Linked DNA regions of Macaca mulatta. The main gene of each other region encodes a partner of the protein of the gene in region 2 in a complex. Links are inferred from orthologs where the notes say so. Each region holds a gene or a part of one and is shown on either strand. Other genes may lie near its edges. The genes, in order: GID8 and ARMC8.

What was found.
Region 1: the proteins of ARMC8 (region 2) and GID8 are in contact, whole or in part, in a cryo-EM structure (PDB 7NSC), measured with the Homo sapiens proteins. The link is inferred for Macaca mulatta from reciprocal best matches to the Homo sapiens genes ARMC8 and GID8. Residues at the interface, in NP_001350870.1 of Homo sapiens: Asn45, Val47, Ile48, Gly49, Asn50, Val85, Ser89, Met92, Arg127, Arg130, Arg161, Tyr162, Tyr166, Leu200, Ser201, Tyr202; in NP_060366.1 of Homo sapiens: Ile83, Ala84, Asn87, His90, Pro91, Glu92, Leu94, Asp95, Thr96, Tyr101, Tyr183, Glu184, Asn185.

The regions. Positions count from the first base shown.
Region 1 is NC_133415.1:115,762,365-115,766,173, reverse strand, and holds part of GID8 (glucose-induced degradation protein 8 homolog), read right to left. Parts: intron 3,681-3,809; 5' UTR 3,669-3,680; coding exon 3,551-3,668; intron 2,137-3,550; coding exon 1,940-2,136; intron 1,633-1,939; coding exon 1,435-1,632; intron 412-1,434; coding exon 238-411; 3' UTR 1-237. UniProt on the Homo sapiens protein: Core component of the CTLH E3 ubiquitin-protein ligase complex that selectively accepts ubiquitin from UBE2H and mediates ubiquitination and subsequent proteasomal degradation of the transcription factor HBP1.
Region 2 is NC_133407.1:41,184,416-41,188,686, forward strand, and holds the start of ARMC8 (armadillo repeat-containing protein 8), read left to right. Parts: upstream 1-1,174; 5' UTR 1,175-1,192; coding exon of another isoform or gene 1,193-1,237; intron 1,238-2,034; exon of another isoform or gene 2,035-2,089; 5' UTR 2,090-2,162; coding exon 2,163-2,165; intron 2,166-4,271. UniProt on the Homo sapiens protein: Component of the CTLH E3 ubiquitin-protein ligase complex that selectively accepts ubiquitin from UBE2H and mediates ubiquitination and subsequent proteasomal degradation of the transcription factor HBP1.

The DNA.
Region 1 (3,809 bases), on a different chromosome or scaffold from region 2:
AGCGAGTGCCAGAGTGCAGGCTCTGCATCAGACTGCCAAAGAGACGGCAGCTTTCCTTGCAAGTTTTCCACTGCCTACAAAGGCCATTTTTCCCTATAAAAAAGATGCCAGGTCAAAAAAAAGTACAAGGGAGAAAAAGAGTTCTCTACTGCAGTGAGAATCTTGCAGTCGCAGGCTGATCTGAGGCAAGTCCCACGACGCAGGGGTGGTGCTGGGTCCACCACACAAGCGCAGGCGTTACTTGGGTTCCTCGATCACGCCCTTGCTGAGGTCTGTCATTTTGGGATATTTTACTTTCTTCTGGTCCAGCTCGTTCTGAGCCCAAAGTAGTAGTTTCAGTAATTTTGCCAGTTTGGGTGTTGACTCGCGATTTTCATAATCTAGGACAGCTTGGTTAACTTCACTCCACACCTAGAATGTAAATACATCAGATAAAAACCACCACACACGCAGAGCACCAGTAGAGTCTATTAAAAATATGCAGTTTAAACAAAGATTAAGCCCTTAACTGCAAGACGCTCTCGGGACATGAAACACATAGTCCTTGCCTGGAGAAGCTCACAGTCTGGTCGGCAAATGTCACATCCAGCCTCGATGGCAGTTAAGTGCCATGAGCAAGGCTTGAACAAAGTGCTGAGGGGACTGTGGAGAGGCAAGACCAGCGTAGCAGGACATACCAGCACCCTCCTCACAAGCCTCAAGAAAACATCTCAAGTGGACTCTAGGACAGGCCATCCTTCCAAGACAGTGTAGGGAGGACAGGGCCCTAGGAGAGGACCTGGGGGAAGAGGGACCTGGGTCTGGGAAGATGAGGAGCTGTCATGTTCTGCCAGACAAAAACAGCAGTGAGGAGAGAAAAGTTTCAGAAAACAGGATTTTAAATGAAAAATACTTGGGACCTAAACAGGAAGAAGGTTCAGATAAACATGAGAAATCAGCAAAGGGTGTGAATACTCTGCAACGGACACCAAGTCTGTTGCCCCTAGTTTGACAAAAGATTAAAAGCCAGAGATGGGCCAGGCACGGTGGCTCACACCTGTAATCTCAGCACTCTGGGAGGCTGGATCACCTGAGGTCAGGAGTTTGAGAGCAGCCTGGCCAATATGGTGAAACCCCGTCTCTACTAAAAATACAAAAATTAGCTGGGCGTGGTGGCGCACTCCTGTAGTTCAGTTACTAGGGAGGTAGAGGCAGGAGAACCGCTTGAACACAGGAGGCGGGGGTTGCAGTGAACCGAGATCTCGTCACTGCACTCCAGCCTGGGCGACAGAGCAAGACTTCATCTCCAAAAAAAAAGTCATGAGGGAACCACTTAGCATCCCAGGCACAGAAGCCACCTCAGTCCACACCACAAAGCCACACACTTGGTGTCTTTGCGAAGCCCTCTCGGAGCACGCTGGGAGTGGAAGAAAGCTTCCCTCTGGTGGGCCCCACCTTCTGCCTCTGCATGGTGTGGAGGAGGTCTCCGAAGGGCGACTCCTCGGGACTGTCAAAGGCCAGCAGTGCCAGCGTACGCTCCATCTCTGTGAGGCACTCTCGGCTCTCCTCGCCCTGCTCCGCCAGCTGAGTCTGCGCAAACTCCAGCGCCGCCTCTGTCTCCCGCTGGCGGATCAGCTCGATCAAATGCTGTTGCTGGAGGCAGAGACAGACAAGCTTGACCCACACACACCCAAGACAGGGACTCAGGGCAGGTGGTACCAGGGTCCCCATCAAAAGTACATCACAGAGGGAAGACTTCTTGCATCTCTGAGTTATCAAATTCGCATTTTTAAAACAAAAAATAGCTTCTGAACTACATAAAAGAGCAAACTCAAACCCCTCCCCCGCACATGCATTAAAATAACATTAAAGCAAATTAGCCTAGTTATTTCTCGATCATTGCAAATAACTTTAACTTATCAAGTATCCACAAACCAGATTGCTCTCTCCTGAAACTTACCTGCAAATGGAAGTAAAGATACCGGTTTGTGTCCAAGAGCTCTGGGTGGAGGCTGTTGATCAAGGCGATGGCCTCCTGAATCTGACCTTTCAGTATCATCTCCCGGATCTTGATTCGTTCATCAAGTGTTTCCAGATCCACACTAGGTTCGATCCCAGATTCCATTCGAAACTTCTCCGCTGCTTCCTTAAAGCCCTCTGAAAAGAAAAACCATCTTCACTGCTAGGAAAGTGAGCAAGGAATTAAGGCAAAGACTTTGTATCTCCAGAAACTCCAACTGCCTCAATTAATCACCTCTAATGTGAACCACACTTTCTCAGGAACCCGGTATTAGTATCTTTGTAATTTACAAGTCATGCTCTCAAAATACATACAGAAAATGAGAAGAATATACCTTGTTATCCCATCCAAAAACTCTAACCTGTTAGCAAAGGGGTCAGAATGGCTGCTGACCTAGTGTGTTGGTGTGGGCTCCTTTGAGAGGACAGATAATAGGTCCAGATGCCAGCAGCTGCAGCTCTGGTGCCAGATTAGGCAAGTCACACTGGCTCAGCCCCCACAGCCGGCCCAGCCTCCACAGCCGGCCCAGCCTCCACAGCCGGCTCAGCCTCCACAGCACAGGAGCCCTCCATGGCCAGCTCCACCTGCAGTGGCCTGGTGACTCCCACCTCTTAAGAGTGTCTACAATTTTTTAAAGCTAGCATGTGTGCCCCTTCCCCTGCCCCTGACATAATTATAGGCCTAAATTTCCTCATCACCTTTCAAAAAATTTTTTTTTTGAGATGGGGTCCCACTCACTCTCCCAGGCTGGACGGCAGTGACACAGTCTTGGCTCACTGCAACCTCCACCTCCCGGGCTTAAGTGATCCTCCCACCTCAGCCTCCCAAGTAGCTGGGACTACAGGCACAAGCCACCATACCCAGCTAATTAAAAAATTGTTTTTGTAGAGACAAGGTCTTACTATGTTGCCCAGGCTGATCTCCAACTTCTAGGCTCAAGTAATCTTCCTCTGTCTCTCAAAGTGCTAGGATTACAAGCATGAGCCACCATGTTTGGCCTAAAAAATTTTCACAGAGATTAATTTGGGAGTACGAAATGGGGACTAACAGGAGGGAGATTTTTCATGTCATGCCTTTTAAAAACATCTATTTTCTCACCATATAAAGCACTGCCCTTCCTCCAGCCAACATCAAGAACAGCCTGAGTCTTATTTCCCTCTGCACACTTCTGCCCTTCCCCATTCTCGTCCTGAGTTGGGCATACCTTCTGGAAACAGGCCACCATACTCAAGCAGACTGGCCAGAGGAGATTAACAATTTGGCTTTAAATATACTTACTTCACAACAGTCTCAGTTATCTTGACTAACTATAAAACTGTCAAAGGCTGAGAAATGGGTTTGTGTTAGGGCTCAGAGACCTGGAATAATCTCATCTTCAGAAAAGGTTATCTTTCACATGATAATTTACAAACTTATCAGGTTAGCATTGTGTTTTTATAATGTCTGAACACAAATAACTACGTCATCAAACCTCACGGCTACAGCACTCCTTATGTGTTCAAAAAGGGAGAATCACATTCGCGCAACAACATCCTTGCTGTAAGCCATTACCTGTGACCAGGTAGTTCATGATGAGGCGGTTCATGTCTGCTCTCTGGACATGCAAGTTATTGAGCTTTTCCATCCACTCATCTTTCGTGATTTCATCGGGTTTTTCTGCATAACTCATTCTGATTTATTTCTACAGGAAAAAAATAACAGCTGAGGGAGGGGTTTAGATGCTCCTCCAGGTGCAAAGGGTAGCGCTGGAGAGCTGTGAGCTAGAGAATCCCACACTGAGCATGCACTGAAAGAGAACGCTGCCATGGGA
Region 2 (4,271 bases):
AGCTACAAGACCAGTTGGAAGGCTTTTGCTCTAGTCCAGGGGAGAGGTTACAAGAGCCTGAATTAGGGTGTGGCTATAGAAATGGAAGGAATACAAGTAATGTTAATAGGCTAATTGCAACCCTACTGTGAAAACCTTACTGGTTGCAAGCAGTACGAAGGTGAAACTTGTCCAACCAAGTCAAGGGCAGTGTTGCGCGCGCGCGCACGCACGCACACACACACACACACACACACAAAGTAGTAGGACAGCTGAATTAATCAACTATAATTAAAAGCATACTTTTATTTGGCTTCGGTTATCAGAGTGTTTTAGTGTGAAATATTTAGATATTTGCCCCCATTTTCCCCACTTAACTCAGAAGCTGGAGAAACATTAACACATATGTATAACGCTTTCCATGTTTTAGGTTTTTTCTTAGCGCTTCACATTTGTTGACTCCTTTATCCTCATTAACCTTTATTTTACAGATGAGGAAACTCAAAACATAAGGTTAGATAACTTACCCAGGGTAAAGCAGCTGAGAAGTAGCTGGGAAGAAGCTCAAGCATTCTGGCTATTCTCAACACTACACCAGAATAAACGGGGCCGACACACAACCTAAGGCAAGTCACACTTCTGTACTGGATCGTGAAACAATCACTCTTATGGTTGACAAAGGTTCTGGGATCGCAATTTCCCCACCTATAAAATGGAGATAACGACGCCGGGAGTTTGGTGCAGAGAGAGAGAGAATGAATATGAAAGTGAACTTCAAACTATGTATATGGCTCCACGTACTACTTTTTCCAAATATGAATACGGGAACCCACAAACTGCAATTTATCAGTCGGTAGAGCTCGTAGCGCCAGGGCGAGACTCCGCCTCTAGGGCCCCGCCCACCGCGAGCGGCAGGTGGGGCCGGCAGATCTTCTTTGCGCATGCGGAAACCGCTGCCCGCTCCCACCTCTAAACCAGGCTCAGAGTAGCTGCTGTTTCTGAGAGAACGATTCGTAGGACAGCCCCTGACGCGATTCCCTTTTGCCCTTCTTTCTGCGGGCCTTTCTGGTACTTGAGCGGTGTCCAGAGCGTGACCAGTTCTCGTCTATCCGGCTGTCTTTAAGGAGCGATGACTAGCGTTGGCCAATAGTTGGCTGTCGAAAGTGCCGGCCCCCGCGCCGGCGCCTGCAGCAGCCGGGTGGGAAGGCTCAAGATGGCGTGCCTGTTAGAGACCCCAATCCGCATGAGCGTCCTTTCGGTGAGTGACCCGCTGCGGCCGCCCGCCCGCCCTCCAGGGAGCCCCATCCCGGTCTCCACCATTCCCCCAAGCGTGGTGTGCCTCCTGGGCACCACCCCCTGGGGTGGTCCCCGGCTCAGTCTTGGGCCAGGGAGTGAGCGAGGGTGGACAGGCGGGATAGACGGGCAGAGGGGACCCCGGCCGAGCCAAAGACATTTCCAACTCCGGGAGCTCCTGCCGGTGCGGGTTTCCAGGATGGCGTCTGGCAGGCGGGGTAGCTGGGCTTACAGACAACTGGCCCGGCGGCGCGGCTTGGACTTTGCCAAGCGTTTCACTGAGCCTTCCTCTTAGAGATGCCGCTTCCCGGGGGCCGAGCGCTCTGCCTTGTGAAGCGCCAGGCTTGCAGCCGGCCTGGGAACGAAAGCTCACTCAGCTCTCCCGGGCTTTGGCAAGAAGAGGTGCAGGCTCCTTGGCCCCCATTTCCTCAGAGCTGCCAGGCCAAGTCTGTGCGACTTCTATTGCGTCCCAGCACCTGGGCACCGGCTGAAGCTGTTTGCTTTTTGGCAATGGTGATTCGTATCAGCTGCGACTCTTCCTAGTGTGTGTGGTTATTTAAGCCCCTTTCCTCCGCTCTGCTCAGAGGTCGCGGCTCTGAGTCAAAGGAACTCTATGTTCCCTGTGCCTGGTATTCCGTTTTTCTTTAAGGGGAGTCAAACATTGAAGGGGGGAAAAGGGGGAGAGATTTCCCCATTGTTGAAAGAAGGGAACGTATTGACATGCGAGGAAGTAAAACCTGTTTTGTTTTTTTTTAAAAAAAGTTTTTTTTAAAGAAAAAGACGACTTTCACCTTTCACTATGTTGCTCTTGAACCAGGACCAGGAATGAAAGTTACTGGGAGATAACTTCGAAGGATTTTGCAACAAATTCGAGCTGTCCGACTCTGAGAATGGTCAGTTTACCAATGGTTCATTTGCTATTGTTGGAAACAAGCAGGCACATACTAATTGACCATCTTTTAGACTTGTGGAAGCCCGTCTGATACTGAGAGGGTCGTTGGATTATAAATGACTTGTCGGGTTGCTAGAGTCTTGTAACTACAACCGGTTTCTTTTCTCTTCTCTGACTTGTCCCACAAACACCTATCTGAAAGCAGCTAGGACATTTGCTTATGATTCAGGGTTAGAGCGGTGTGGCAGACCTCAACCTTGAAAAGGCTTAAGTTGTCAATACAATAATAATTTAATTTTGTGAGCCTGTCAACAGATTTTTCCCCCGATCCATTTTAGCAGTCGTTTTTTCTTATTTTTAAACTGCAACTAAGGAAATACCGTTTACCTAAGTATTATATCAGATTAGCCTGTTACTCCATCACTGACTGTAATACCCAGGAATATTTTGTGGGAGTGCAGGCCAATGACTTTTACCTCATTATGTTAAAAAATAAAAATAAAAAAAGTGTGTGTCTTGGCTGTTCTCAGTTCCCCTTTAATTATGCATTTAGGTTTCATTTATTCTTCAGTTCACCTGAAGCTTACTTTTTGGATGTTGTCAACTTGTGTGATGCATATGATTTAAAGTTTTCATTTGTTTCACTTCCTTGGTAAATAATGTTTTCTGCTTATTCAAAAACTTCTTGAAGAGTATTTTCTATCAATACTTCTATTTACAATTTGCCTTTAGCCCTAGTCTAATTAGGGGCTTTTTTGGGGGGGGGGGGGAAGTAGGAGCTTTTGGGTAAATGATTTAAGATGTTTAAATTCACTGATTTTACTAATTTAAAGTAAAACCTGTACCTTTCAAAGTACTACCCAGAGCACCACGTTTTGAAACGCAAACTAGAACAGGAAGTATTCATCAGAAATTATCTTGAATGGTTGATTCCTTTAATAAGCTACAATGTACCAGTTATGTACAAGCTCTGCATTGTATACCTTAGAGAATGCAAGGATGAGATCAGAAATGTGTTTAAGGAGCTCCTAGTCTGAATGATGGTGTAACTTGATAAACATAATTTCAGCAAGGAGGCCTTCAAGTTGTTTTAAAGGATTTCCATTTGAGTCTCTTTATACCTTCTCCTTGGGAGATCTCATTGATTTTCTTATAACCTTAACTGATCAGTTCACACATCTACATTGCCAACCTTGACTTTCTTATACATCTAGTCTTGTATCTTAAATTGTGTGTGGATGACACCCATCGCTTCCAGCAAAGCACATTCCTTCTCCTAAGGGGAATTAGTTATGACTTCCCAATTTCTGTTAATGGTATTATCTTTTACTGATGAGTCACTGTTAAACCTCCTGAATAATCTCTGGTTCTTCCTTCTTTCATCCCCCTATATCTATCAGTTGTTAAGCTCTGTTGCTTCTTTATTCTTAGTGTTTCTCGTATCTTTCTGTTCCCATGACCACCCTCATTCAGGACCTTGTTGTTTTGTGCCTGCACTACCACAGCGTCCTTTTAGTTATTTTTACTGTCTCTAGTGTCTTACCCCCTCAGTGCAAGCCCAATGTCTACATTAATTTTCCTAAAGAACTCTGCACAGCTGCTCCTCGGTTTCTTTTCTTTATTGAGTTTGTTTTGCCTAAAGGCCCAAGTTTATATTCAGCTTCAGAGTTGAGATTCTTTATTTTCTTCTTTATCTTCTTTTTTGTTTTTTGAGATGGAGTTTTGCTCTTGTTGCCCAGACTGTAGTGCAGTGGCACTATCTTGGCTCACTGCAACCTCCGCCTCCTCAGTTCAAGAGATTCTCCTGCCTCAGCCTCCTGAGTAGCTGGAATTACAGGCACCCGCCACCATGCCCAGCTAATTTTTTGTATTTTTAGTAGCAACGGAGTCTCACCATGTTGGCCAGGCTGGTCTCGAACTCCTGACCTCAAATGATCCACCCACCTTGGCTTCCCAAAGTGCTGGGATTGCAGGCATGAGCCACAGCACCTGGCGGAGATTCTTCATCTTCTACATGAGCCTTCTATCCTTTATAAACGGGCTTTCTCAGGTTGGAGTGATACAGGATTCTTCCAAACTCCAGTAAATCTTATTCTTCTTACTCATT